Linked DNA regions of Elephas maximus indicus. Each later gene encodes a partner of the first gene's protein in a complex. Links are inferred from orthologs where the notes say so. Each region holds a gene or a part of one and is shown in the gene's direction. Other genes may lie near its edges. The genes, in order: LIN54 and E2F4.

Evidence for each region.
Region 2: LIN54 (region 1) and E2F4 share a complex: the UniProt entries of both Homo sapiens proteins name them as parts of the DREAM complex. The link is inferred for Elephas maximus indicus from reciprocal best matches to the Homo sapiens genes LIN54 and E2F4.

What each region holds. Positions count from the first base shown.
Region 1 is NC_064823.1:73,308,590-73,323,863, forward strand, and holds the start of LIN54 (protein lin-54 homolog), read left to right. Parts: upstream 1-8,424; 5' UTR 8,425-8,508; intron 8,509-10,527; exon of another isoform or gene 10,528-10,847; intron 10,848-15,274. UniProt on the Homo sapiens protein: Component of the DREAM complex, a multiprotein complex that can both act as a transcription activator or repressor depending on the context. In G0 phase, the complex binds to more than 800 promoters and is required for repression of E2F target genes.
Region 2 is NC_064839.1:33,593,821-33,608,804, forward strand, and holds E2F4 (transcription factor E2F4), read left to right. Parts: upstream 1-7,516; 5' UTR 7,517-7,683; intron 7,684-8,605; 5' UTR 8,606-8,848; coding exon 8,849-8,983; intron 8,984-9,463; coding exon 9,464-9,573; intron 9,574-9,716; coding exon 9,717-9,878; intron 9,879-10,188; coding exon 10,189-10,232; intron 10,233-10,973; coding exon 10,974-11,035; intron 11,036-11,254; coding exon 11,255-11,552; intron 11,553-12,054; coding exon 12,055-12,171; intron 12,172-12,387; coding exon 12,388-12,629; 3' UTR 12,630-13,938; downstream 13,939-14,984. Other genes in the region: EXOC3L1 (exocyst complex component 3-like protein), read right to left, coding at 1,792-1,981, 2,067-2,191, 2,282-2,437, 2,514-2,636, 2,748-2,877, 3,889-3,999, 4,304-4,404, 4,503-4,628 and 5 more. UniProt on the Homo sapiens protein: Transcription activator that binds DNA cooperatively with DP proteins through the E2 recognition site, 5'-TTTC[CG]CGC-3' found in the promoter region of a number of genes whose products are involved in cell cycle regulation or in DNA replication.

The sequences.
Region 1 (15,274 bases):
GCAATTGGAGTCACCACCTGGTTAAGTTTTTGATATTCCACTGTCATTCTCCAAGATCCATGTGTTTTTTTGTACAGGCCAAATAGGCGAGTTGAATGGGGATGTGGTGGGAATCACAACCCCTGCATCCTTCAAGTTCTTGGTGGCGGCAATAATCTCTGCAATCCCTCCTGGAATGCAGTATTGATTTTGGTTTACTATTTTCCTAGGTAGGGGCAGTTCTTCCACTTGGTTTTTCCTACCATGAAAGTCCTTACTCCATTCGTCAGGGATAGAATGTGGATGTTCTACCAGTTGCTGAGTATATCTATTCCAGTTATGTGTTCTGGAACTGGGGAAATCACTACGAGATGAGTTCAGAGACCCACTGGACCCTTTAGGCAAATCTGAACTAACACTCCATTAATACCCTGACCTTCATATACCCCTACTATGACTGGTAGACCACAGTGATGTTTTGTGTTTCCTGGAATGAGCATCAGTTCAGAGCCACTATCTAGTAATCCCCAAGAAGTCTGATTATTTCCTTTTCTCCAATGAACTGTCACTCTCAGAAAAGGCTGTAGATACCTTTGGAGAAGGTTGGGAGAAAGATTAATGGTGTAAGTTTTTGGTAGTGTAGTGGCGTCCATCCTCAAAGGGATCCGGCCTCCCCCTCCCTCATTCAAGGAGTTGTGGGTCTGTAAACTGGCTCAAGTCTGGAAACTGAATGAAGGGCCATGACCTTCTGTTCTGGCAATTCAAGTTACACTGCCATTCACTTGACCTAGAAGTCTTCTGCTTGTACAAATCAAGTATTTAGTAGATTTATGATTTATTTCACTCCTAATGACACCATGACTAAGTAGTTAACAGCATAAGGCCATACAAGTCAGACTACTCTGATTACTGCTTTGATTCCACTGTGCATTATGGTAACTGTGCCCACTTTGCCTTTATTAATTGAGTGCTGCCTCTTGGCCCCTACCACCATGAGGTCCAATCAGCCCCTTTGTAGTTAGATGTCTTAATTCAATTAGGGCAATTTCCACTGTCGAATTTGGTTTACATAAAATAGCAATCACAGCTGTCTTTAAGGACGCTGTGGCTCCCTTCACAAATTTGTTCCTCACTGTTCTGGCACAAGGTGTGTCCTCTGAGAACTCCATGTGTGGGTCTGTGGGTCTAACCTGATAAATCCACTGTAACATGCCAATTTCCCTAAGCCTTTGTATTCCTTCTTCTATAGTATACCAAGGCAGGTCTAGTACTTCAACTTGATTTAGTGTGGGTTACCACATATTTTTTGCTTCAGCGAACCAACCAAATAAACTATTAAATCCTTTCCCATCCTCTCAAACTGAAACATTAAATGAAGAATCTGTGCTTAGTGGGCTTATATCAATGAACTCAGACTGATCCAACTTTATGTTCCTTGCACCATTATCTCACACTCTTAATAGTCATTCCCACACATATTCCCCAGGTTTCTGATCATACATGTTAGAAAACTCAAGCAGCTCTTTTGAAGTACAGTGTACCTCCTCCTGAGTCACACTTTGTACTTCATCTTTTGGGGCTCACTGGGACTTAAGTCTAATTATAGCTAGAAGTAAAAATGGGTGGTGGGGGTGTGTTCTGAGAACATTCAGCAATGTCTTGTAAGGCACCTGCCTCAGGCGATGCCCCAGGCGATGAATCAGACACCTCCCCAGGGGGTAGCTCAGACAAAGGCTCTTCAGACACAGCGTATGGTGATGAAGGGGCTAATGATTTCACTGGGGAAGGTGGCTTCAATGGTTAAGATTGTTTGTCAACTTGGCTGGACCATGATTCTCAGTGTTTATATGTGATCAGTTCCATAATGGGATCTTCAATTTGTCATTCCTGGCATAGAAAACCATATGTCTGATTTAAAATGGCCAATACCAGTCCATTTCAGATCACAAATTTTCTAGGATATCAATTGTCATGGATTGAATTAAAATACATCACTAAGGTCAACTCTACTTTGAGGAGGCAGCTCTTCCTCAATTGTTTTTGAGTGCCTTCCAAAACCTAAGGGGCTCATCTTCCAGCACTATATCAGACAATGTTCTGCTACTGTTTATAAGGCTTTTACTGGCCAATTTTTTCAGAAGTAGATCACCAGCTCCTTCTTCCCAGTATGTCTTAGCCTGGAAGCTTTGCTGAAACCTGCCCACCAGGGGTGACCCTGCTTGTATTTGAAATACCAGTGGCATAGCTTCCAGCAACACACAAGCCACCACACTATGACAAACTGACAGAGGAGCGGTGGAGCGGATGATAATTACTGAGAATTTTCCAAAATTTTGAAAGATGTCAAATCATACGTCCAGGGAAACTTAGAGAGCTCCTAAAAATATGAAACACCTGCCAAACATCAGCTGCTTTGGCACCATCACCTTTCTGGCCTGTACAGCACTGTTTGTCCAATTATTTTCATCTGCATGGCCCTTTCTCTTGTTATTTTATAAAACAATAAAAATTGGGGGAAAAAAAGATGAAATAGACACCTAGAAAGATAATATTCAACTGCTGAAAACCAAAGATAAAATCTCAAAGGTAGGCAGAGAAAAAAGACACTTTATGTAAAGAAGAAAAAAGACAAGAATTAAAAGAGACGTCTAGCCACAAATTATGCCATTCAGAACTCAGTAGCTTGGCATGTTGGCAGTGGAAGAGAAGATGTCTGGTTCTTACATCTTGATGCTTTTCCCTTGAGGCTTGCCTTCCCCTTGGGGATTATTCATTAAACACTGTTGACCCCATAAAACGGAAATTAATGGGACTGCTCTCCCTTAACATTTTGACACACATGTGAATATTCATCCTCCCCTTAGTTTACCTCAGCAGTGGTAAATAATGGGACCAGATAGCAATGGTTGCTAAGATTTTACTTAATGGTTGGGAAAAAAAAGAAGGAAGGAAATTACAAATACATGATGCAGCAGACTCAACATTGGTAGTGTACTCAGGGAAGGTAGGACCTTTCCTCATTCCCCAAGATGAGTCATGATAGGTCCAGGCCAGGGGTCTGTCACTTGTTCTGTAATGAGTCAAATAATAAATATCTTAAACTTTGTGGGCCACATATGGTCTTTGATATATACTTTTCTTCTTACTCTTCTTTTAACAATCTTTTAGCAATCCTATAAACACATTAAAAAAAAAAAAAAAAAACAACTCAGCTTACGGGCTTACAAAAACAGACCATGGGCTGGATTTAACCTGTGAGTCTCATTTTCGATCTCTGCTCTATGCCATTTGTGTAATTCCATTCCCTTTTGCTAGTGAGTGGTTTACGGAGAGATATATGGCCCAGGTCTGGCAATGTATTATAATGAGAAATCTGCTGGGGCACAGATTTAACCTGCTGATAAAAAGAAGTACAAAATGAGACTCAATGGGCACACCAGCCCAGGGGCAAGGACAAGAAGGCAGGAGGGGACAGGAAAGCTGGTAATGGGGAACCCAAGGTTGAGAAGGAACAGTGTTGACCTGTCATGGAGTCAACAACCAACGTCACAAAACAATATGTGTATTGATTGTTTAACAGGAAACTAGTTTGCTCTGTAAAACTTCTTCTAAAGTAAAATTAAAAAATAAATATAAAAAAATGCTTGTGGTTGTACACTAAGGAGAATTTTAAGATGTTTTTCCATAAAAACTCTACCCAGTTTCTAATAGCTTGAGGGGGAGATGTCTTCTTTCTCTTATTGGGCAAAAAGTGGGCACACTCCTTCAAACACATTAAAATCTTTGTGACCAGGTCCAAATGAACAAGGCCCAAAGAGAGGAAGTACTTTCCTCATTCCCCAATATTGAGACCCTCTTTCAAGATTTCATGCCCTATCCCAAGATGTGCCTCTTCTCAAAATGACTGACACTGGTACTATACTTCCTTCGAGAGGAAACCCCGTCTCCTAACCACAGGGATGATTATATCCCTAGCAGAACAAGTATATCAGAACATTACAGAGGATCTTTTATTTCCACCCTTTTAATTAAACAAATAAGCAAAAAAAAAAAAACCAACTATCAGAGATGCAAAGAAATCTATTTACCAGAGGAAAAGTAAATAAACTCTGTCTGCAACCAACAGATAACTTAAGTGATTGATTTTGTTGTTTCAGTCATTTGATATCATTAACCACATCATGTACCATAAGTGCAAAAATTTGGGTGTGTTGAAAGTGCCACAATCCCATATTCCTTATTTGAAATTCTTAAGACCAGATGTATTTTGGAATTCAGGATATTTTGGACTTTAGAAAAGAATATGCACCAACCATTTTTCAGACTCCAGTGTTTTTCTCTTTTAAAACAATGCTCATGGGGTATAATTTACTTACAATAAAATGCATCCATTTTAAATGGACCCAGTGAATTTAGACCAATGTCTACCCTCATGTATCTACTACCAAAATCAAAGTTAAAAAAAAAATTCCTATCACTCCAGAAAGTTCCCACGAACACCTTTTGGCTATACCATTTTTAAGACCACTCCTAGTGGTTTCTAGTGAAATATTCTATAGTCAAACACCTTCATACTTCTGCACTGATGCATAAGAATATTTACACCAAGTATAAAGTATATGAATAGCCTTATGTAATATTGGCCCAGGTTTTCCTGCCCAATGAGTTTGCCATAGCTTCCAAAACCCTTTCAGTTTTCAAAACATTTTGGATTTTAAAATTTTTGATAAGAGATTATAGGTCTGTTGTAAAAAGAGATAAATAATGATGAAAAAGAAATAAAGATGAAAATTACTCTTTTATAGATGTACACAAGTTGTTTGCTTGCATAAAGACATACTGGACTTCTAACAACATGGACTAATAAACATATGAACTTTGTGAATACTCTTTTGGAAACTAGCCTGTTTTTAAGAAAGTTTTATTCACTAGTGTACTTGGTGGAGTCCCTGGGTGGTGCAAACAGTTAGTGGACTCAGTTGCTAACCAAAAGGTTAGAGGTTTGAGTCCAGCTAGAGTTGTCCCAGGAGAAAGACCTGGCGATCTCTTTCTGAAAAGTCAGCCATTGAAAGCCCTAGGGAGTACAATTCTATGCTGACACACGTGGGATCACCATGAGTCAAAATCAACTCAACTGCAACTGGTATTGGCATACTTTGTACCTGGCAGTCTACCTGGTGGAAACCCTGGTGGCGTACGCTGCTAACCAAAGGGTTGGCAGTTCAAGTCTGCCAGGCGCTCCTTGGAAACTCTATGGGACAGTTCTACTCTGCCCTATAGGGTCGCTATGAGTCAGAATCGACTCGATGCCGCTGGGTTTGGTGTTTTTTTTTTTTTGTCTACCTGTTTTATTATAGGACTTAAAAATAAATTTTACTTTTATTTTTTGATAGTTTTCACCACTTCACATCTCCATACTACAATCTTTTTATTATTCTTTTTGTATCGATATTATCTTCAGAAACCGCTTGTATTTATTTATTTAAATATTTCAGTTTTTTTTTCAACTTGTTTATAGTTTGCCACTTCCTCTAGAACTGTGTTGTCCAATATGGTAGTCATTAGGTACACATGGTTATTTAACTTAAAATTAGTTTACGTAAAAATAATTAATAACGTAGTTCCTCAGTTGCATTAGCCACATTTCAAGTGCTTGATAGCTACATGTATCCAGTGGTGGCTGTATCAGATAGTGTAGATGTAGAACATTTCCACCATTACAGAAAGTTCCACTGGACAGAGCTGTACTGTCTCGTTTACTGTGTTCCTAGTCTCTAGCACACTGCCTGGGATTCAACAATCAAGAAATGTTTGCTAAATAAATGTTCTTAGACAATTTGAAAAAGCCATCCATGTAAATATACAGCTAAGTGTCTCTTTTGAAATACAGATTTTTTTTTTTGTCTAAGCAAAATGTTTAGTTTTATTAATTGGGGAGATTGAGTAACCACTTTGTTGCAAGATCAAAAATATGGAAAAAAAAAAAAATCCCTGACTCCAAAATTGCAACCATATTACACTCTACATTCCCTTGCTGTATTAACCACTCTCTCCTAAAGTATGTGATGCCATTTTGTACTTCTTCTTTTTTTTTTTTTTCTTTTGCAATATAGATGTTTGAATAGCAGTGACTCTTAGGAGCTAAAATGCTTTCTTTGATAAAGTAGAAGATTATATTTTAGACTGTATTGTAGTTTTGATTAATAGCTTTCAGTCAGTGAATGCTTACTATATGCCAGGCACTATTCTAAGTTTTTTACACATATTACCTCATAAATCTTCACAACAACCTAATGATATATGTATTATTCCCAATTTAGAGAGGAAAAAACTTAAACAAGAGGAAAGTAACTTGCCTAACTTCACAGAGCTATTAAGTGACAGGGACAGGATTTGGCCCTGTTACAGATTGAATTCAGTCTTCCCCAAAATGTGTATCAACTTGGTTAGGCCATGATTTCCAGTATTGTGTGGTTGTCCACCATTTTGTGACCTGATGTGATTTTGCTATGTGTTGTAAATCCCAGTTTCTTCTTGTGGTTAATGAGGAAAGATTAGCATGTGTTAAAGAGGATTAGGGTAGGATAGGACACCCTTACTCAGGTCACATTCCTGATATGACCTAAGGAGACCTTCCCTGGGGTGTGGCCTGTATCACCTTTTATCTTACAAGAGATAAAAGGAAAGAGAAGCAAGCAGAGAGAGGGATCTCATACCACTAAGAAAGAAGCAGTAGGAGCGGGGTGTATCTTTTGGACCCAGGGTCCCTGCTCTGAGAAGCTCCTAGGCCAGGGGAAGACTGATGACAGGGACCTTCCCCCAGAACCAACAGAGAAAGAAAGCCCTTCCCTGGAGCTGGCACCCTCAATTAGGACTTCTAGCCTAGACTGTGAGAGAGTAAATTTCTCTTTGTTAAAGCCATCCACTTGTGGTATTTCTGTTATAGCAGCACTAGGTAACTAAGACAGGGCCCAATTGGTCTAGCACCCAAGGCCATGAACTTAAAATAACACTGAGCTCTTTGTGATTACTTTTAATGTGGATCATTTATCTCTTTTTTTTTTCAGTATTTATACCTCTTATTTTTCTTATTTAATTGCATTTAGCAAGGACACCCTGAAAAATGTTTAATAATGTCTGTGATCATGAAGCTTTTCTCACTAGCTTTGAAGGTTCCTCATAAACTGAGCTTACCTTACTGTTGATTCCCAACCACGCCTGTGTATCATTCAACTTTCTTACATTTCTTGCACTTGCCACAGATCTTCCCACTTCCAGGCCTTTGCTAAGTTCATGCCACTGGTCTTGCTAAATCCTAAAAATTGAGTTTGGGATGGGTGGTATAGGGTGGTGGTGACTGTGGTAGAAAAGGAATTAACATCTGACACAGGACTGTGTAGCTGTTTGACATACCTCAGAATACCCTCAGAATCCTGGGAAGTTTTGTTATTTATATTTTATGGCTGGGAAAAGAAACTTGATGAACATGATACACTAAAAAGTTGAGGCGCCAGAATTTAAACCAAGATTGCTTGATGCCAAAGTGATTGCTGCTTCCACTACGTGTCTCACCTCCTCCATTGTGTTCCCTGTCTACTGCCTGTCACTTTGCCCTGTGCGTACTACATGCCCCAGGAGTAGTTATATAGACTGTACCACAACATTTAACATTTCATTACACTCTCGTGTTTTCTACTGTTTCATCTGTGTGCTTCTTGTCTCACACCGAGCAGTTATTAACTGAATAATCGCTCAGTCCCTGTTTGATTATCAGACTCCAAATTTGGGTATTTTTTCTTTTATAATAAGGGGTACCGAGAAAAATAAAAGGGAAAGGTGAATGAATACGAAGAATTTTGATCGTGTTAATCTTAGCCATATACTGCAAAAAAGCAAAAAGTTCCTTTCGAAATAACTTTAAGTCTGTGTAGTGTCTCTGCGGCTTTTTATCGATCTCTGAAAAATTAGTACTGAAAAAACGACGAGATTTGGCATTTGTAAATATTGATCCTCCCCATTCTCCCCCAAGCACATCAAAAAGTGGCAAGATGCTGGAAATCGCACCTACATCACGGACTTCCTTACAAGGAAAGCTAGAAAAAGAGGGAGTCTCTTCCAACAGCTGGCACAAACCCTGACCTTCCCCTCCCAACCGCAGCCTGATGGAACATTCCATGCGAAAGATTTGACAGAGAAACCACTTGGAGTCACGTGGAGTTGGAGCGTACTCACGGCGCCTTGCGGAATGACGCGACCTTGGGTTGCCAAGGGGCGGGGCCAGGCTTCGCGGAAGGGGCGGGGCGAAGGAAGCCGACCGGGAAGGCGGGGCGGACGAAGTGGAGGGGCGGGCGAAGAGGGGCGCGCGGGCGGGGAGGGCCCAGCGTATTATGGGATGCGGCGGTGGAATGGCGCTGGGCGCGTGATTTTGAACAAACCCGGGTCTGTGTCTCGGAGGCGCCGCCGCCGCCGCGGCTACTGGGAGCCCAGGGAGCGCGGCGCGAGGAGGAGGCGGCGGCGCCGCCGGCTTTGGTGAGCGTCAGCCCCCGAGATGGGGGCTTTTGAGCCGGAGGGCGGGAAGGGAGCGCCGGCCCCGGCTGCGGGAAACGGCGGGGGCGAAGGGCGCCGGACCGCCCCCTCTGAGAGCCCGGGCGGGGAGCGGGAACTTGCCGGCTGTGGGCCGCGGCGCCCCATCCCTGCGGAAGGGTCCTCGGGTCTCAGCCCCTTTCCGCCGGCGCCCAGGAGGGCGGCTGTCACCCGGCAGGGCCGGCACTCAACCGGCCGGCTACCGTTCCCGGCAGCCTGGAGGAAGGGCTCCGGTGGCTGTTGACACAGCGCGGCTAGAGAAGCCGGCCGTGTCGGCCCCGGGTTTCTGGGAACCAGTTTTGCTGCTGTGTCATTTTGTACCGGCCCCTCCTTTCTCTGCTGCCCGCCACCCCATTCTTCCTATGCTCCTTTGTATGCCACCTTCTTCCTGTGTGTCCGTTTTCCTCGCGAAGCCCACCAGCCAAATGTCATAATGTTCCCGAGGTGCATGGGGGAAGGGAGCAGACTGGGACTCAGCTTGGCCAGGCAACGGTAAACAACCAAGCGGAGTGCGGGTGGCCCGGACAGCCGGTGGGGCCATAAAGTTTAAAGATAAAGAAACTAGGGAGACTTTACACTCTCAGCGTCTAGCAGGCTGCGTATTAAAAACGGCGATTGGGCTGGGTTGGTGGACAGCACTTGTTGAAGCTGGAATCTACCGACTTTTATACGGAGTTGCCATGCAAGCAAGGTAGGGAAATGAAATGATTTATTCAACATCTACCTCACTTTTCTTAAACGAACTTTTAAAAAAGGTAGTAGAGTGGCCTAATTTTCAACCCTAAATTTCAATTTACTCGTTTCAGATAGGTCTTCTAGATCTTAGGTTGTAGTTGAATGGTATGAATTTCAGCCTTTGAATGGATGATTACCAAATTTTTCCTGAAATTGACGAAGGTGGTCAGTTTAGTTTTCTTTTTTTATGCTCGTTTCATTAGAAGCCCTGTAGCCTATGCTTTCTTGTTACTTCTAAGATGATTAAAAAAATACCTGTCTATGTTCTGTTTTAGTTACTTATGAAACTGCATGATGGGAGGCGCTAGTGGGGGTGGGTGGTAACTCTGGGGTCTTGTTCCAAAGCAAGCTGTTTATTTTCACTGTATTGAACAAATATGTCAGCGGCAGATGGTTTTTTAATTTGGTGACTTGGATCCTAAAAAAGTTTGACAAAGAATTTTAGTTTAGAGCTATATTTTCTATATTTTTAGAAATTGATCATTCATGCATTTATTTCCATAATTGAATCAATACATTTTAAGCTTAGTTGCACTTTGACGTCTTAAACTAATGACAAATCGAAAGTCACGATGTTCCTGGACAGAAATTATCAGATAAAATTAAGTGAAGAGGAAAGTAGTTTGGAGTCTGTTTGTCAGACTGTGTGTTGAAATCTTTATTTAAAAAAAAAAAAAAACTGTTTTGACCACAGTAGTTACATGAGGATCAGTACCTGTAATTTAAAAAGCAGGTATCAGAGAGGTCAAACAGGCATATGGAAATAACTCATTCTGTCAAGGTAGTTCTGACGGTGGAGTAAAATGTCAAGAGTAGGTGAGTGACGTTAAAGGTCTCGATAATGTCTTCAGTGTCTGATACGGACATAGTGAAACGCATTCCATCATCTGTCTCCAGTTGTTTTTCCGAAAATGAAAGAGTTTAGATCCCTTACTGTCTTTATGCCACCCTCCGCATTGCGTTTGCTCTTCAAATAAAAATATGCCTGACTTGGGACCCCGCAGATGGCGGGGCTTCCTTTCGCAGCTCTGCGGGGCTGGCAGGAGCACCATTTTTCGTTCTGGGGTGAAAGGTCTTTGCGTAGGCTGTGTGTACATTTGTGTCTCCCGTGTGCATTTGAAGGTTGGCGGGGCCGGCGGGAGGTTTCCCCGGATATGTGGGTGTGTGCTTTTCGGGAGGGGAGGACCTGGGAGGGGAGGAGGAGGAAGGGGGAGGTGACTGGCGGCGGCGGCGGCGGCCCGGGCTGGGGCTGTCGGGGAAGCTGCTGAGCTGTGATGGTGATGACGAGGTGAAAATGGCGGATCTTTCGAAATACAATCCCGGCCCCTGACATACCAGAGGCGGCGGCTGCGGCGGCGTCGCCACACGGCTCCCTTACCGGTCTCTGGGTACCCTGTAGCGCTCCAGTTTGGGCAAACTGAGAAAGGAAGCGGCTGGCCCGAGCTATCTGGCAGAGGCAAAACAAGCACCGCCCGGGCTCGGAATTGCCCGGGACCTTCTGGAGCCCCCACCTTGGAGCCGGAGGGAGGAGAAAGCGGCAGCCGCTGGAGGTAGAGAAGAAGGGGTACCCGAGGGCCTCTCTGCCTTGAAATCTCTTCTTGGGGGGGGAGGGGACATTTGTGTTGTGGATCAACTAATGACTTGTCTGTAGTGCAAAGAATCAGTAGCCTCATAATGACATCAACAGTATTCTTTGGGTGTTAAGAAGGCTCAAATTTGCTCTTATACCTAAGGCTGCTGCCGAGGCCTAAAGGAACCGCTAGCAAATATCTTGATTTCTTGATTTAATAGTTAACCTATCCACTCTGGTTGGTCAACACCAGATGATGTTTAGCAGTTTATGGAGTTGTACGTTTCTTTAAGGAGGCTGAGCATTGGCATTTTATTCTGCATTTTAGATCTGTGTGTTAGGTCATAGTCTATAACTTGTTGGGGTATGGACGGTCACATTTAAGCATATGGACCAGACCAGTTTTCTAACAATTAAAAATGTTGTCTTTTTTATTTTTTTAATGGCTCTTTCTCCCATAGAGTGACCCGCTTTGCCCCTGCTATTTGGCAAGTAACAATTGAGATACTGTCAGTCATATTTCATACCCGTGTTTTTCAGAGAAATTCTTTCCTAGCCCCATCCATTTCATGAAGTCAGAGAATAAAAGTTTTTACAGTACATTTTATAATCCAAGTGAAATACAGCTCTGGGAATTCTATTAGTCCCTTATTTTTACCTTCATTGTTAAGAAGGGGAATTGCGATTATTGTTGAGGTACCATCTCCTTTGGCTTGATGCAAGCATTTGATGTGAGTACATTAAGTCAGTACATAGATAAATTGAGACCTCAGTTCTATTCTAAATACTGGACTTGTTAGTCCTTTGTGTAGAGAGTTGAGAATTGCATTGACTGACTTTATGACCAAAAAAATAAAAGCCAAACTCATTGCTGTCGAGTCAGTTCTGACTCATAGCTTCATATTGTAGGTTATCTAAAGACACATGTATGTATTAGATTATTGTGCGAGATCTCTAATGAGTCTGTCTTCTTGCACACAACAGTTGTCATTCGGTGCTGTGGAGTTGGTTCTGACTCACAGCGACCCTGTGTACAACAAAACGAAACATTGCCTAGTCCTGCAGCATTCTCACAATCGTTGTTGTTTGAGCCCACTGTTGCAGCCACTGTGTCAGTCCATCTTGTTGAGGGTCTTCCTCTTTTTCACTGACCCTCTACCAAGCATGATGTCCTTCTCCAAGTATTGGTCCCTCCAGATAGCATGTCCAAAGTACGTAAGACAAAGTCTCGCCATCCTTGCTTCTAAGCAGCATTATGTCTGTACTTCTAAGACGGATTTGTTAGTTTTTTTAGCAGTCCATAGTATATTCAGTATTCTTCTCCAATACCATAATTCACATGAGTGAATTCTTCTTCAGTCTTCCTTATTCATTGTGCATATGAGGTGATTGAAAATACCACAGCTTGGGTCAGGCATACTGTAATCCTCAACACACAACAGTAGTGTCCTTGAAAAGTAACATGTGAATCAAATTTTTATACATTAACTTGGGGCCCTGTTTTTTTCCCCCCAGCTCTTGTGGGAGAAGGTTGAGTTAGTGACTCTGAGTATATGAAAAGTGAACAGAGAGGTAAATATTCAAGACATGCCTACTGGTAATGTTTATAATTAGCAGTGAATAATTTTCCTTATCCTCAAATTGCCTACGAAGAGATGATGCCATAGCTATGTCATACAATATCATATATTTTGTATTCAGAGTATAATTGTTTTTTGTGTGTATAGCTTGCACATTTGGCTTCTCACCACTAAAAGAATAAAGGACAGAAAAAAAAAATTAGGGGAAGTACCTGAGAGATACTTTAGATCTAGTTAATGAAGTTTTAAAAATCATTTGTCTGATGCTCTTGGATTATCCATTAGGAATTTGTTTTTATTTTACAGCATTTATGGTACAATTATTTGGGCCATAACAACCCAACTGTTAAATTAGTAGCAAGATTAAGAATTTTAAAAATAACTAAAATAAAAGATTAAAATCCCTTTTTATTGGTTTTCTTTTAATCACAGGGTTATTTTTGTGATTTTTTGTGATTGTCTTTAAAGCCAGTTCTCAGAATTATTGTGGTTAGAACAATTGTCTACTTATTAATAACTGAAGCTGTGCTAGGAAAAAATGAAGGAAGATTCATGCCACTGGAGATAGTCTGGGATCTTTTTTTTCTTTTTGGAAAAATGTTACAGATTTTCATTACTTCCTTCAGGTACTTCTTTTGGGTGTCTGTTATGTCTCACATACTATACTAAGCCTCAGGGATAAAATAACCTGAATATTACTGCATCAAGAGAGCTTCCAGTTTAGGAATCACTGGAGGTAAATTTGGATGGTTGGATAGGGCCTAATGCAGAAGGCCTTGAGAGTTATAGAAAATTTTTGAGGAGAGTGACAGCCTCAGAGATGCACTCTAGGGAGATATATTCTGTAGCTGTTGTGTAGGATGAATTGTAGGTGAGAGTAGATGGAGGTAAAAATACTCTAGTCTCTGAGGCTGTCAATCAGAAATTTTCTGTTAACTCTCAAGGCCTTCTACATTGATGGTGCAATGGTTAAGCGCTTGGTGGTTAACCAGAAGGTTGGCGATTTGAACCCACCACCCACATCCTGGGAGAAAAGACCTGGTGATCAGCTTCCATAAAAATTTCAGCCTAGGAAACCTTATGGGGCAGTCTGCTCTGTCCAATAGGGTCACTTTGAGTCAGAATTGACTCAGGGCATGCCACAGCAAGGCTTCAAGCTTTGCAGACTTGGCAGCTCTTGGTTGCCTTGGGGAGGAGACAGTTATGAAAGGGTAATTTGCACAATATATGACAGATTAATTATTTCTATGGAGAGAGAGACATCAAAGATGACAAGATCATAAACCTTGGTGTTTGATGAAATATTGAGTGCTGTTAAAGAAAAAAAAGAGAGAAATCAGAGGAAAAGCTAATTTAGATAAAGAGGAAAGGAACTTACACTTGAATTACAATCAGAGCTTCCAACAGGTTTGAACCAGTATAGTCATGGCCAATAAAGCAAAACTGGAAAAGGTCCAAATTTTAAAAATTTGGGTGGTCCAGCACCATAGCTAGAACAGAAAAAATACGAGTCAAAGGCCTGGAATGGAGACTCTGGAGAGGCGTAGTGAGCCCTTTCAGGAGCCTAAGGTATGCGGTTGGGTCATTGCCATGACTGAGAAAAGCAACACGCTTTCAGAGCTGCGGGGTCGGCCGCCATCTTTGAGTGGGGCACCGCTGTTTTCGACTGTGCACAAAATCCCACCGCAAGGGATTTCGTTGCTGTGCAACAGTTACACTGCCATTGTTTTCTTGGGGGAAGATTGAGTTTCTAGCAGGGCTCTGACTTGTAATTTTTCCCATTGTGGTTATGGTTCTAGTGCACCCAAATTTTAAAAAATTCGGGTCTGTTCTAGTGTCGCTTCCTTGGCCATGATTGAACTGGGAAGAACCAGTTTGAAGCCCTGGTTACAATGTAACTACATAGGTATCTTCACAGTAACCCGCAAGTAATCTGAGACAGATTGGTTAGGGTCACATGACAACTAAGAGAGCCAAGATTTAGAACTGGGTCATTTTGACTTGAATCTCCGTGTTTTTTTCCACCATATTAGTCTTAAGCATGGATAGTGATCAAAACAAAACAAAACAAAACAAAAAAATCCATTGCCGTTGATTCTGACTCAGCGACCCTATTGGACAGAGTAAAACTGCTCCATAGGGTGCCCAAGGCTGTAAATCTTTACAGAAGCAGTCTGGAAAGTCTTTCTCCCTTGGAAAGAGTTCGAACCATTGATCTTTGGGTTATCAGCTGAGCGTCTAACTACTGCACCACCAGTGCTCCTTCAAACAATTATACAGTCCCTTTTTAAAGGAAAACCAAAATTACAGGTCATCAGTATCGGCCTCAATGAATTTTCTGTTGTATTAAAATATTTTATATAGAGAGAGGTAAATTCCTTATATAGGCTTATGCTTATTGCTTTTATCCAAATATAAAGCAAATTAAATCAGGTTGATGGATGATGATGTTTTGCTGAAACGAAATCTTTCTTTGCATGGTGAATTACTAGTGTCTGCCTTAGCACAGGTGTGCTGTTTGTCTGTACTGTGATGACTCAATTCCTGTACCACTTTTCTGTCTAAACACTACAAAGCTTTCATCCTTAAATCACAGGTGAGGTGGTTTGGCTTTAGCTGCTGTAGAATCAGCCCTTGGCTCACGGTGGCCCCATGTACAACAGAGCAAAACAAAATGCTGCCCAGTCCTGTGCCATCTCTATGATCCGTTGTGGATGGAATCTAGATCACCAGGCCTTTCTTCCTAGGCTGCCTTAGACTGGAAACTCCAGTGAAACCTGTTCAGCATCATAGCAACACACAAGCCTCCACTGATAGACAGGTGTTG
Region 2 (14,984 bases), on another chromosome or scaffold:
ATCTGTGCTTGACTGCATAAGGTGCATCTCAAAATAACATTGTATTAGAAGAGCCTTCCCTAACACACCCCTATACAGTAAACTTCCTCTCCCCTCTCCACCACCACCTCTCCTTCCCTCCCTTATTGTTCTCCACAGCAGTTATCACCATCTGAAGTACAGCATATTTGACTGTTAGCTATCTGTTTCCTCTTGAAAATCTTCAGGATCCCAAACAGTGCCTGATCCAGAGCAGCTGAGTGAACCAAAGAGCTCTTCTCAGATCTGGAATCATTCCTTCCCTGCACTTTGTTTCCCCATCTAGATTCAGTCTTCCTCCTCGAGAAGTGCCCAGCCGCTCGAAAAAGCTTCAGGCCTCAGGATTCACTCTCCTCAACTAACTGGACACTTTCCCAGGCTCCTCACTGGTCTCTGGGCTTTTACCTGAGCCAGTCCTCTCCATCTCCCCTTCTTTCATTCAACCTACCTCCTCGCAATCACCAGAATATGCCTGTGTTTCTTTCATGTCTCAGGTCCTTCCGCCAGGAATGCCCTCCCAGTGCCGCCCTGGAGCATCCTTCAGGGCTTGGTTCAGGCCTCACCTCTTTCGGGAAGTCTTCCCAGCACATAGTTTCCCCAGTGCCTAGGCGGCTTCTCTACCGCCCTAGGCTGTCACTGTCGGAGCCTGGGTCTGTGTCCCCCCACCATTCCAACTCCCCGAGGGCAGTAACGGGTCTCATCTGGCCCCAGGTCTCCAGCACCCAGCACTAGGCGCAGATAAATGAACGAAAGGATGGGGGAGGAGCCCTAGATTATTGAAGGCGGGGTCTGGTGACAAATGAGAGGGTGTGGCCTGCACTAGTAAGAGACCCGAGAGGGTAATGTGGAAGAAGGGCCAATGGAAACGGAGAGATGGAGGAGGGGCGTGCCCAGCGGCCAATAAGCGGCGGGGGATGGGGTGAAGGGTGTGCCAATGGAGGGCGGGGCTGGAGGACAATGGAGGGGGTTCCTTAGTAGATAGCGGAGTCGCGTCGCTCGCCTTCTCTGCCTCCCGGGGGTCCCATTCGCGCGCCGCGTCCCAACCTGTTCGCCCCTTTACTCGTCGCCGCCGTTCCCGTTCCGTAGCGCCCGTCGCCTGCAGCCCAGCCCGAGGGAGCCAACACCTCTGACGCACCACCCGGGCGCGCGCACGCTCACAGGATGGCGCGCGGGTTCGCGTCAGTCTCCGCGGCGGCGCGCGCCGGAGACCACAGCCGGGGGCGGGGCCAGGCAGGGCAGAGGGGGTGGTGTCCTTCTCGGGTCACACTCTTGGGCGGGGACTCGTCTTAGGCCCGGCCCCTCTACGTGGGCCAGGAGGGTCTCAGGGCTTCGGGGGCAATCCGACAGCCAAAACACGGGCGTCCAGACACTAGTTCACTCCCCTGCGCGATTACGGGAAACCCTGGTGGCATAGTGCTACGGCTGCCAACCAAGAGGTCAGCAGTAGGAATTCGCCGGGCGCTCCTCGGAAACTTTATGGGGCAGTTCTACCCTGTCCTGTAGGGCCGCTATGAGTTGGAATCGACTCGATGGGAGCGGGCTTAGGTTTTTTTGGGGGGCGCGGATACGCGGGCGAGGACGGTACTTGCATACCACGCCGAGTCTGGATACATGGGATCGCAGTCTGTGTAGCAGGGTGGGAACCAAGGTACCATACCATACTGTGCATAACCCCTAACCTTTGCGGACACTTTTATTTCACCCCTCCTTCCCCCAGACACACAGAGCCAGAGGCCCGGAAGCCGTTGGCTTTATTCTGCAGGCAGCCGAGCATCAGGCGCAGGATCCCGAGGGAAGGCAGTAGGACGGTGCGGGTGTAGGCGCCGGCACTAGGCTGAAGAGTGCGCGGTGACCAGCAGGAGGCGAGGGCGGCGGGACGGCCTGTAAGGAGCTGAGTGCGGCCAGCCGCTGCTCTCGGGACACGTCCCCGCGCAGGTCCAGGAGGGCTGAGACGTGGTCCTCGCTGCAGAGCACCAGAGGGGCGAGTCAGCTCCGCCCTGCCCGCCCCTCCCGGGCTCCTCCTCCCTCCCCGCCTGGAGTCTCCGCACCTCACGTCGGGAAATTGTTGCCGCAAGCCGGCCACCTCGAGGCCAAGCAGCGTGGGGTCGTGCAGGTTCAGCAGCTCCCGCAGGGCGAGCAGCACTGGCGCGCACTGCACGCTCTCCTCCAGGCCCTGCTCACGTGGGGTAGGATTTCGTGGCGGCCCTCGGCCTACACCTCACCACTGAGACCCCGCCCGTCTGTCTCTCCGCTGAGCTCTTACCAAACCAAGAAAGAGCTCCCGGAGCTGGGTGGCATCATGCCGCAGGCGCTCGGCGGCCTGGGTCCGCTCGTCTGCACCACGGCACACTAAGCGGCCCTGCATCAGTGCGCGCAGGTACTGCAGCACCACGGTGCGCTCCGCCTCAGCCAGCAGCAGCTGCGGCGAGGGCGATCAGGCAGGTCCAGGTTGCTTTTCCCATCGGCTTCTCCCCATGCCCTCCCTCCCAACGCACCTGGACTGCCGGGCTCCGCACGCGCCGGAAGTCCCGGCAGAAGTTCGCAGTCCGCTCGCACACACCATCCAGCAGCTCTGGGCTCGACAGCCACCAGCGCGAGGGCAGACTTGAGAACAGGGGCTGGGGGAGGACAAAGACGGCGCTGGGGGAATGATCCAGACCCTGCATTCCCAGCAGAGGCCTCCACACGTACATTGTCACTCCACCTCCAACCCCCACCTGAAGCCTCACCTGGAGCTCCGCTAGCAGGGCCTCCAGCACCAGGCGGCAGATCCTCCTCTGCAGCTCGTCCAGCGCAGCTTCCACCCGAGCCAAGGCCACAGAAGCCATCCCATCGAGGTGAAGGACAGACACGGACGACCTAGAACCAAAAAAAAAAAAAACAAAAAACCGTTGCCGTCGAGTCGATTCCGACTGATAGCGACCCTGTAGGACAGAGTATATCTGCTCCATAGGGTTTCAAAGAGCGCCTGGTGGATTCGAACAGACGGCCTAGACGAACCAAAAATTTGTCTTCAGGACCAAGGCCAAGGCCCTCACGGCTCTTCGTGGTCCAACTACCCTAACGCCACCTAGTGGTGCGTGTGTGTGGCAGCTGGGGATGAGAAGGGCTGCTCCTTGCATTTCGGAAGGTCTGAGACTGGGAGTTGGGTCAGAGAGCTAGAACCGACACAGCCCCAGTCGGACCTGTCGTTAATTCGCTGTGTGACCTTAAGCAAAGCATGTCTTTAGGCTCCTATTTGCTCATCCGTAAGGTGAGGGAGGAAACCCTGGTGGCGTAGGGTAGGCAGTTCGAATCCGCCAGACGCTCCTTGGAAACTCTATGGGGCAGTTCTACTCTGTCCTATAGGGTCGCTATGAGTCAGAATCGACTCGACGGCACTGGGTTTGGTTTTTGTTTTTTTTAAGGTGAGCGAGTTAGTCCCAGGCAGGAGTGAGTAAAAATCATCAGCTTTTTTATCTGTCCTCCCCTGTCCCCTCACCCCTCCCCCAGAACATAAGATCCAAGAGGAAGGGAATTCCCTGTTTCTCACAGCTGTAACCCCAAACATTATCTGGCACAGAGTAGGGCCTTGATAATATTTATAATATTTATTGCCAGGCACTGTGGTAGGTACTTTACATGTTATCTCACGTGATTCTCAGAACATCCCATTATACCCAGATAATAGTAATGAGAAAAATGAGATTCAGAGAGATTAGGTAACATGTCTAAGATCATACAGACAGTAATATACAGAACTAGGATTGGAACCTGGAACTATGTGAGTCCAAAGTCCCTAATGGCCTGGTATGGACTGGTATGGACTAGTTACATACAAATAGGTGCTCAGTCAGGGTTAGTGAAGTGCGGTCCATGTAAGCCCCATACCTGAGTGCTGTGTGGTGGTTGAGTGTGGCCAGTAGGTAGGACACATAATGAGGAGCTATTGCTTCGCCCCTGAGGTGGTCTCGGGAGAATCGGATCAGAGCATCGCTGAAGCTGCAGTGGGCAGAGGTGGTGCCATTGTCACTCTGGTGCTCCCACAACCCTATTGTTGTTAGTAATTGTCATAGAGTCAATGCCGACTCAATGTGTGAAGAATAGAACTGCTACATAGGGTTTTCAAGCCACACGGTGACTCCTCTCACAGCCTCAGCCTCTGGTCATCTTGCCCCACCTCCAAAACACCAAGGCCCAGTTTGAAGGATCCCGTTCTCACTGGTGTGCCTTATTCACTTAAAGCCCCTTTGGATGCCCTGGGAGCAGGACCAGGGGTTGGGAGTGGGTCAGCGTCTTGGCGGACCTCCTCAAGAATGCACCCAGTTCTGACACTGCCATGCCATGCACCCGCTGCTGCAGTGACTTGCTGACCACGCTGGTCACACGGATGTTCTCATCCAGGATCTAGAGGCAGGGATGGGCAGCCATCAGCAGAGCCCCTAGCCCTGCCCCTCCCCTTTCCCCATGGGGGCTGCCCACCTGCCTGGCCACTTCCCACTCACCTGCAGCACAATGGCCGGCATCGGTGAGTGGTAAAAGCCAGATGGGTCTGTGTCTGGCTCCTTTTCCAAGCCCCACTCAGCTACCTCCCCATCCAGTGCCTTCTGCAGCCACTGGGCCACACTTGCCTGGGGGAAAGAGTGAGGGGCAGCAGGATGTAGTGGGGCACTGACCCTGCCAGAGACAGGCAGGCATGTGACAAATGAGAGATCTCTGTGTGACTCTGCACATAAAAGCCTGTAGCTGGTGGGCAGAGCTGCTCTGCACCTGTGCCTGGACCATTCACCTGGACTTTGGCTACAAATGTTGCCTCTAGCTGCTCGACATTCTCCAGGGTCAGCAAGGGCTCCAGCTGGGACACATCAGCGTCAGGCCCCAACTCAAGGCTTCCCATCATTTCTGGCCTGGAGATAGGTGGCAGGTGTCACATGGAGCCCCAGCCTCCAATCCACCCACTTCCCACTGTTCCCAGGTCACTGACCCCAGGTACACATGCTGTGCCCAGTGCAGCAGGGTGAAGGCATCAGCAGCTCTCAGTTCAGGACCTGTGAGGAGTTGCTGCAGGCTGCGGCGCAGGCCGCTGTGTAGGGTATGGGCCCAGAGTTGGACCACCTTGTAGTTCGGCGGACAGCAGGGCGCTACCAGTGCCTCAGCTGTAGCCAACTCGGCTGGCAGTGCCACACGCAGAGTTTCCAGCCATTCTGCTAGGGCCCCTGGCCCAGGCAGCAGAGATGTCCCAAAGTAGACCCGCTCCAGACCCTCCTGTAGTGCCCGCAGAAAGCGCTGCCGCCAGTCCTGGGGGTGTTGCCCAAGGGGGCCTGTGCGCCCAGCTTCCACCTCGGCCACACGCACAGCAGCCACCAGCAAGGCTGGGTCCTCCCGTGCCAGCTGCCCTGCAGTCCCTGCTGCCACCTCCACAGCCCAGCCCAGTGCCTCAGTCAGAGGGCCCAGCCCCTCAAAGGCTGGTAATTCCAGGCCCCCCAGGGCTACCCTTGTGTTCTCTCGAAGCTGTTCCAACTCCCACAGGCTCACATATGCCTCCAGGAGCCGCTGGGCATCAATCAGGGTCTGCGTGTGGGCCACTGCAGCTGGTACTAAGGAAGAGGAGACAACCTTGGGTGTCAGCTTTCCTACCTGTGAATGGGTCCAGTGGTGGATACTGAGGCCCTGGGCCTGCAGGGATGTGTAAGATACTTAATAACCAGTACAGTAGAGCATTGCCCAATCTGACAGAACACAGGCAAGGTCCTAGAGGCCCAGTGGGCCAAGTGTCAACCCTTGAGCTGATGGAACATGAGGAAGTCAGGGATCCCGGAAACAAGTCAGGAAGAACTGGGGAGCTATGCTAGTGGCTATTCACCCAGGCTATTAGGGAAATATTTCAATATATTAACAATCAGGGTGGCCAGAGTCACTTGACCGGGAGTTAGTCCTGTTTCAGACATCCCATGCTGGGAAACCCCAGGATGAGGTACCTTTGTATCCAGCTTCATATGTCATTTGAAGCCTCAGCTACTCTCTGGGAGGTCCCAGGTGTGTCCCTTCATGCAATCCCCACCTGGTGACCCAGCCCCTTGATCAGTGGATGTTTGTTGACTGACTGCTGGCAGGCTGAAGCCTGGGGCCCCTGTACACTCACCTGCTCGAAGCCGAGGCAAGAGCTGAGACAGGGCCTGCAGTTGCTTGTGTTGGGCAACCCGCTCCTGCAGGGGCTCTAGGGTCAGCGCAGCCTCAGCCATGCTCCTGAACAACCTATGGGCCTCGCCTAGGCTCTCCCGGGCTCCCTGCACAGCCTCAAGGGCCTGGGCCAGCTGCCACACACCAGTCTGCACACCCTTCAGGTACGATTGCACCACCGACTGTAGAAGGGAGGCATCCAGTGAGGCCTGGCTGGCCGCAGCCCACCCCCAACACTCCAGCCCCTGCCTGATGCCCACCTTGATGCGTGCTTCCAGGGAGGAGGTGCGCTGCACCTCACGGCTCCGGTACTGGCCCAGCCTGGCCAGCTGCTCTGGCCGGTAGAAGATGCCTGAGGCCCACTTCAGTGCGGCACCCCGGGCCAGGCGTTCCGCCCTTTCCTGCTCTGGCCACTCAGGCCCAGGGCAGGAAGAGCCTGGGTGGCAGCAGCGTTAATCATCAGTCAGTCCAGCAGGGCCTGCAGGAAGCCGCCGCCGAAACTGCTCCCCTTTCCCTGTCCCCCAGTCCACTCTTTTCACTGCCCTATTGAGCTCCAACCAGGCTTGCCTTACAGGACCAACCCCATCATTCCTGTCCTCCTTGCCGTCATCCCTCCTCAGCCCACCCAGAGGGGCTCCTACCAGGGGGATGTGCAGACTCCTTGTTGTCCTTGGCTGCTGGGTCCATGGCAGGCCCTGGAGGAGCCAGAGCTGAGCTGGGAGTGGAGGCGAGGAGCTAGGTTACAGCAGATAGAATGGACGCTCCTTGGAGCTGCAGCCGCTGTTCAGGCCCCTCCAAGAAGGAGGGAAGTTTGTGTCCAGTCCCTCAGGAAATGAAAGGAAGGTGGGTGTGGTGGGGGAGGTACCTGGGAGGCCTTCACCCACTGGGTTTCTCAGTTGTGTCCCCTGTAGGGTAGGCACAGGTCTCCACTGGGCCCTGCTCCTACTCTGAGTTTTAGAGGTCAGTTTGGTGTGCAACCCACCAGGCTTGACCAGGCGCCCAGTTCTCCCTCCTCCACAGACAGCCTTGGCCTTGAGGATGGCCCTCTCCCCCAGCCCTGTGGCAGAGCTGGTCACTCCCTTCACTCCCAGTCCACTCCTGGGTACACAACAGACTTCCTCTCCTCAAGGAAGCCTCTCTCCCCACTTGCAGCCCAGGAGCCCCCCTCCTCCCGTGAGGCCCCTCCTCCCCAAGGCCACAGGCAGAACGGAAGGAAGCTGAGTCTCTGGCACTTTATTCCCAACAGGAAAGAACATCTGAATGCGAGGTGGGGTGGGGAGGGTTGAGCACCACTTCCCAGAGGGCTGGGGGTGGGGGGTGTACATGGAGTCCTAACCAGTCCGTGGCGGTACCTCTTAGTGCCCTGGACACAGTCCCAAACCGGACTGGGGCTGGGTGTGCACGGACTACCACACAGTATGAAGTGTGTTGGTGAGTCCCTCAGAGGAAGGTGTGTACCTCTGCAGAAGAGTGAGAGGCCACAGGCTGTTGTGAAGAGGGTGATTGGTGAGTGAAGGTGAGAGGGGGGTCACGGAAAGGCCACGAAAGCTGTGTTGAAGAGCTGGAGTCTTCAGTGCTATAGGGAGCCATGGAGGGGACTTCAGGGGAGTAGTAATGTCATGGGTGCTGTGGTGCACCACCCATTTACCCCTTCCCGCAGCTGCCAGGAGTGAAGTCTGCTCAGGTCTCACAGCTGAGTCTCTCAGTTAATGTTGGGGTACAAAGGCCTGGGCCCCTTGCCTGACTCTGGAATGCCTTTGAATGACCTCCCAGCTTCAGAGCTTCTAGTAGGATGGGCTGAGCCCTCTATTATAACTGTGCCACAGTTTAACTCCTTCCCTGCCCAATTCTGCTTGTCTTAAATCCCTTACAAGTGTGGATCTCCAATAAGCTTCTTACAGGCAAATCCCCTTCTCAAAGTCTGTTTCCCAGAAACCTTGACCTAAAATAAACAATAAAAATTAACAATGTTGAAAATAATAAAAGGATACTAGCAAACACAGAATCCTTTCCTGCATGCCAGGAACTGCTTTGCACGCTTTGCATAGGTAAACATGTTTGCATTGGCTGAAAAGTGGTTACAATGCTGTGGCAGCGACTGGCCCTTTGAGCTCTACTGTGTGGAAGTAAGAGAGACATGAGGCTGGGAGCATGGATTGAAGTAGAAGGGCTAGATGTAGTTAGTGCTTCCTCTTTGGCAGGAAGTGAGGGACAGTAATACGGGTGCGTGACCTCAAGACAGTGGGGTAGCCTCTAGGAGCAAGTCTAGGAGAACCCGTTGGGGTCATCAGGCAGTGTTGTCTCCTCTCTGGAGATGGGGGCTGTGGCGGAGTTAGTGGTGTTGGAGCAGGTTGACAAGGAAGTTTCCGGTGGCTCCCTCTTCTGTACTGCCGGGGCCGCCCCTGACCTCTTCCACATCCCTCCCCAGAATGTCTTGCACTTTGGATCCCCGGAGGGTTTTCGTCCTCCTCGGCGGTTGGACATTTGCTAATGGTCCCTCGAGTTTTGCGGCGGTGCCCGCAGAGAGGAATTGCGCCGGGTTCCCTGGAAGGGCGCAGGGCGGAAGCGGAAGCAGCGACACTGGCGCCGGCGGCCGGGCGCCCAGGAACGGAAGCGGAAGTGGCGGCGGCGCCGGCCTGGCCTGGCTGAGGGGAGGCGGCGGGCTGGCGCGATGGCGGAGGCCGGGCCACAGGCGCCGCCGCCCCCAGGAACCCCAAGCCGGCACGAGAAGAGCCTGGGACTTCTCACCACCAAGTTCGTGTCTCTTCTGCAGGAGGCCAAGGACGGCGTGCTTGACCTCAAGCTGGTGCGGCCCGGGCTAAGGGGGTGACGGAGGGGTTGGTGGAACAGGCCTGGGTCCTGAGCGGGAACCCCCGGGGCGGCCCGGCTGACCTCTCAGAGAGCAAGCCGCCATCCGTGTGCCTTCGCAAAGGAAGAAGACCGGAAGCCGTTTCATTCATTTGGTAGACGGCATTGGGCGCCAGCTATTTGTCAGGCGCGGGGCTGCAGGTGCTGGCCCTCGTGGCCCTCCTGACTTGGCGGAGAAGCGCATCTAAACATTATTTCAGGGCTTTACCAGGCCTCTTCCTGCCCCACGGTCCTGGGTTGCTGTAGTGCTTGAGTGGAGGGTTTGGACAAAGGCAGCCCCCTTCCCAGACCACGTCGCAGGGTAGCTTGACGCCCGCTGTCCCGACAGACACCGTGGGAGTTTGTGTGTACGTGGGTAGATGGCTCGGGTGCACTTGGGAGTGGGGCTGAGCATCCTCTGTTCTGTTCTGTCTGTCAGGCAGCTGACACCCTAGCTGTGCGCCAGAAGCGGCGGATTTACGATATTACTAATGTACTGGAGGGTATCGGGCTGATCGAGAAAAAATCCAAGAACAGCATCCAGTGGAAGTGAGTGGGGGCATCTGAGAGAGTAGTGGGGTTTTCTAGCCAGAAGTGCCAGGGATGTGGGGCGAGGGAGAGGTGCAGGAGAGAGCAGGTGCCATGGGACTTAGAGTGCCTGGCAGCCTCTCAGCCCGACTCTGTGGACTCAGGGGCGTGGGTCCTGGCTGCAATACCCGGGAGATTGCGGATAAGCTGATTGAGCTCAAGGCAGAGATCGAGGAGCTGCAGCAGCGGGAACAAGAACTGGACCAGCACAAGGTGTGGGTGCAGCAGAGCATCCGGAATGTCACAGAGGACGTGCAGAACAGCTAATATCCTCCTGGCGGTCCCTGCTCTGGGGGAGTGGGTGAGGGGCCACCTGGTCCAGCAGGGTTTGCTCTTTGGTGCCCTGGGCTTTGTCCTTCTTGGGAGGATGGCCCTGCAGCCCCAGCCTCGGGCTCCCTTCTCAGAGCTCCTCTGCTTCCAGTGTTCGCCTTTTATTCCTCCCCACGTGGAACCCAGGCTCCAGGACTTTCTCTGAGGGCTCGTGTGTCAGACTTCTGCTAAAGAGCTGGGTCCTCTCTGTGGTCTGCCATCTGTCACCATAGGCAGGGCACTGGCCGTTCTCCTTAACCCCCACACCTTGGCCTACGTGACTCACGAGGACATCTGCAGATGCTTTGCTGGTGAGCAGAGCCTGGGTAGAGGGATTGGGGGTGGGACTGAGCTGAGCCACAGCCCTGAACATTGGGCTCAGTGTCCAAGGAGAGCTGCATCTCTTAGGAGGGCTCCTGGGGCCTGCCCAAAAAGGAACCAAATGTGGGTAAGTCCTGGTTTCGAGGGTTCACTGGGACCCTGTGGAGGCCAGCTATACTGAGCAGGCATAGGATCTGGGGCTGGGTCCCTGGGTCTGCCCCCGTCTATACTGTCCCTTGGGCTTGGCTTCTCAGGCACTGTGGAGGGAGGGAGAAAGAGAGATAAAGGAGAAAGAAAGAGCATGTGTGCATAGGTGTGCTTATGTGTAGGTAACAGTGGCATCTACTTCCAACCTGTAGTTTAGTTGCGTTGTGGATACAGGAGCTATTCCTTCTCCATCTTGCACCCCCCAGGCTGGTTCTGAGGAAGAGACATTGTCCTTGACCAGAAACCCTATACCTTGGGAGCAGCCCCATCAGTTGAGCAGCGAGGTGCCCATGAGCAGTGATCTTTTGCTCCATGAATTTGAACACAGATTTCCTGATTACTGACCCCTGGGCTCTCGGGGAGAGTAAACCTTTAGCTCTCTGCCCCAGCTACTGTGGGGGATGAGGGAGGACTCCTATCTAGCCCCTCAGAGACCATGATCTCCTGCCTTGTTCCAAGGGGCAGCACCCCCATTCCAGCTCAGGCCGAGCCCATGGCATTGACTAGCACCCTTGTCATTCTAGGAGATACCCTCCTGGCCATCCGGGCCCCGTCAGGCACCAGCCTGGAGGTGCCCATCCCAGAGGTGGGTGCTTAGCCCAGACAGGCGGGGTTGGTGGAGGGCGGGTGCTGACTGCGGGGCCTGATAAGTCCCGGGTGGGGCAGTTCGGGGGGAGGCCTGGGGTTTGGGGTTATCTAGGAGGACGGGCAGCCTGGGGTGGGAGAGGATACTGTGCCCTGGCCCAAGGTCAGGCAGGAAACAAGCCTGTTCCCAACTCTACTTCTCCCTCACCTCCACTTCCAGGGCCTCAATGGGCAGAAGAAGTACCAGATTCACCTGAAGAGTGTGAGTGGGCCCATTGAGGTGCTGCTGGTGAACAAGGAGGCATGGAGCTCACCACCTGTGGCCGTGCCTGTACCACCACCGGAAGATCTGCTCCAGGGCCCACCTGCTGTCTCTACTCCTCCGCCTCTGCCCAAGCCTACCCTGGCCCAGCCTCAGGAAGCCTCACGCCCAAGCAGTCCCCAGCTGGCCATGCCTGCCCCTGTCCCCAGCAGCGTCGAGGCCCAGGGGGTGGCCGGCCCAGTAGCTGAGAGCACAGGTGAGGCATGAGGAGCAGCTGGTGATGGGGTTACCTTCTGGGACGCTAGAGGCAGTACCTCTGTGTTGTGGAATGCCATACGCAGAGCTGGATGAGAGCCTTTTCCTGGCTCCCACCCTGCCTCCCCTTGCTGTGACAGTGAACAAGCCCTTTTTAACAGGGAAACTGCTTGAAGGGGCATTCGTGGTGGCAGTTTCCCCCAGGTGCACCTGTGCTTCACTGCCCTGGCCGCCCCACTTGAAGTGTGGCCATAGCAGCCATGTTGTCCATGAGTCTCCCTTGTGCAGGCCTCACACCTGTCTCCAGTAACTCATTTCCAGGTTACCACTTCTGGGGGACTGGCAGTGCCTAATTCTCCTTGGGCCTGGAATGGCCATGGCTCTAGCACAGCTTTCTGCCCACCATGTGACTGGGTAGGGGGATGTGGTTGCAGTGAGAGGTGGCCCTGGAACTGATAGCAAGGACAGTGGTGAGCTCAGCTCACTCCCTCTGGGCCCGACAGCACTGGACACCCGGCCACTGCAGTCTTCTGCCCTGCTGGACAGTAGCAGCAATAGCAGTTCATCTGGATCCAACCCTTCTACCTCCTTTGAGCCTATCAAAGCGGACTCCACAGGTGGTGAGTACCTGCCCACCTTGGCCAGGGAGAGCCCCGCCTCAGCCCACGCCTGGGTCAGTGACAGGACTGGGGCTGGAATCCAGCCCTGGTATCTCAGCCAGAGATTACCAGCTCAGGAGCCCCAACTCCCTCCCATCAACCTCAGCCTTTGATACTAGAGCCCTCTGCTAGTTAGAGTGAGTGGTGGTACCTGTTTTGTCCCCCCTCCTGGTTTAGCACAGGGCTCCCTGGCCCCTTCTCAAGCTCTGCCTGCCACCCCTTGGACTCCGGCCTCAGGAAAGTGCAAGCCTTCCCCTGGGGAAGGGGGGCTGTGGCTGTGGTATGGCCCTGAGGCACCAAAGGTGGTCAGTAGCCTTCCCAGGAGAAATGATGTTATCTGTCTGGTGTCCTCTCTCTCCTATGTCCAGGACTTATTCTCCTCAGCCCATAGCATTGCTGTCTCTCTCGTAACTAAATGACCTGATCCTCCCTTATGTTCCCCCTTCACACTTTCGTGTGTCTTCTCAGCCTGCATGCCTTGAAAAAGTAAGCTCCGGTCCATGTCATTGTCACCTAGTCGTCTTTCAGGTTGGGTTAGGGTCCCCCAACCCCTAGTGCTATATCAGCATCACTCATGGTAAGTTGCTAAAGACCTGACTGCCAAATGTAGCAGGCAGCTCGGGGGTACCTTCTTGCTTGGTGGTGTTGATTTTCTTTTTTCTGTGGCTTTAATGATACTGGCTTTTGGCTCTTCTTCCTCACTGGCTTCTTCTTCTCAGTCTCTCCCTGAAAATCCCTTAAACATTGGCACTTCCCTGGTTCCTGTCCCATTCGACCCCTGGGAGGGCTGCAGCTCTGGGTGGGTGACCCCTTCACTTCTCTCTAGTCTGGCTCTTTTGCCTGAACTCCAGGTCTCTGTGCACTTGCACTTGCCTTCTGGATGCCTGTCTCCCCTAGTACTTGATTCCCACATACCCTCAACTGAACTTACATTCTTCTCAAAACCTGCTTTCCTGCCTCTGTGAACACCCTACTGTTAGCCCTGGGCACCCAGGCTTGACACCTGAGTGTCACTCTAATTCCATCTCCTTCCTTCACCCTCTGCTCCCAACCCCACCTCAGCTAAGTGAGTTCTTTCCCAGACATTGCTTATCATCCTTCCTGCATCCTCAACCCCCAGGATTGGTCTCGGGCACCTCCAACCTAGATAATATGAAGCATCCACCTGTTTACCACAACTGACACAAGAATCTTTCTGAAATGCAAGCCTGACCGTGACAGTCCCGTGTTTACAAAAGTACCTCTAGTGGCTCCCTGAGACCCACTGAATAAAGTCAGCTCCTAAGCCTGGGGCGTGAATTCCCTTGTGGTCCAACCCCAGCATGCTGCTGCTCCTTCTTCCTCTGCTTTCTATATGCCTCCTCCCCATCAGACCTTTCTGGTGGAGTGGTGATCTGTAGCAGGTGGCTCGACCTGAGGTGTGGGCTCAGCCTGGCACAGCACAGGTGCTCGGCATGGATGGGGGTGGACGAAGTATCCTCAGGCAGGGTGTGCACAGGAGCCCAGAAGGTGGTGGGCAGGTCTGCTCCCTTCTGTAGTATCAATGAGTGAGGATGGCTGTGCCAAGCACCTGTGGTGGGCCTTTGGTTCTCTGGGCTCAGCACTGAGGAATTTGAGTCTAGCAGGGGAGAGCAACAGACAATGCCAGCTTATCTCCTCAGTTGTGTGGAGCACCAGGGTGGATGGTGTAGGATCTAAGGAAGGCAGGGGCTGAGCCTCTGTGCCCTTCAGCATAGTCTTGAGCATGGCCTTCTTGCCTTTCAGTTCTGGAACTCCCCAAAGAGCTGTCAGAGATCTTTGATCCTACACCAGGTAGGGCTGTGTTCCTCCCTGGGGCTGAGCAGCACAGCTTTTTGGGTCCCACTGCTGTGCTGTTTTCTTGTCCTTCTGAAGACCTTATGGCTGTGCTTGGTACCTGGGGCAGAGGGGAAAGCTTCTGGTGGGTGTGGGAGGGTCCCCTTTTCTGGATCCAGAAGTAACTGAACACTCCTCCTTCTCAGAGTGCATGAGCTCAGAGCTGCTGGAGGAACTGATGTCCTCAGAAGGTGGGTGGTCCAGGATGCTGGGGAGTAGGTGTGGCCAGGGGGTGGGTGGCAGCTGGGTGGGGCCTTGGCTCCAGGCCTCAGCTTAGTGCTCTCTGCAGTGTTTGCCCCCCTCCTCCGTCTTTCTCCGCCCCCTGGAGACCATGATTACATCTACAACCTGGACGAGAGTGAAGGTGTCTGTGACCTCTTTGATGTGCCTGTTCTCAACCTCTGACTGACAGGGACTTGCCCTGTGTGGCTGGACACAGACTACCTGACCTGGGGGACCTTCCCCCACCCTACACCTACACAGCCACAGGCTCCTGGCTTCCCCAGCCTTCCCGCACCGCACAGTTCAGGCCACGACTCCCACCCCTGCCTCCTGCACTTGCACCTGTACTGTGCTAGGAGAGCAGGGGAACGCGCTCAGCCCCTCCATCCTGGAGCCAAAATGTTCACCTCTCCTTCCCTGGAGCCTGGTGACACAGAACCTCAGACCCACCCTCAACCCAATAGGGCAGCTTGTTCAGTCCCATTGCCCTGCTCCTGACAGCCCCTTGCTCCCAAGGAGGGAAGGGTAGGGTGGAGCTGGGGGCTTACCAGCACCACCCCTAGCCTTCGCTGCCGCCCACCCGTGACCCTACGGCTCCTCCTGACCTCTTGTATGCCCCCCTTCTGCTTGGCCCTAGCCCCGAGAACCTGTAGGTGCTGGTAGGGGCTCACCAGAAGGAACAGAGATCTCTAGATAGT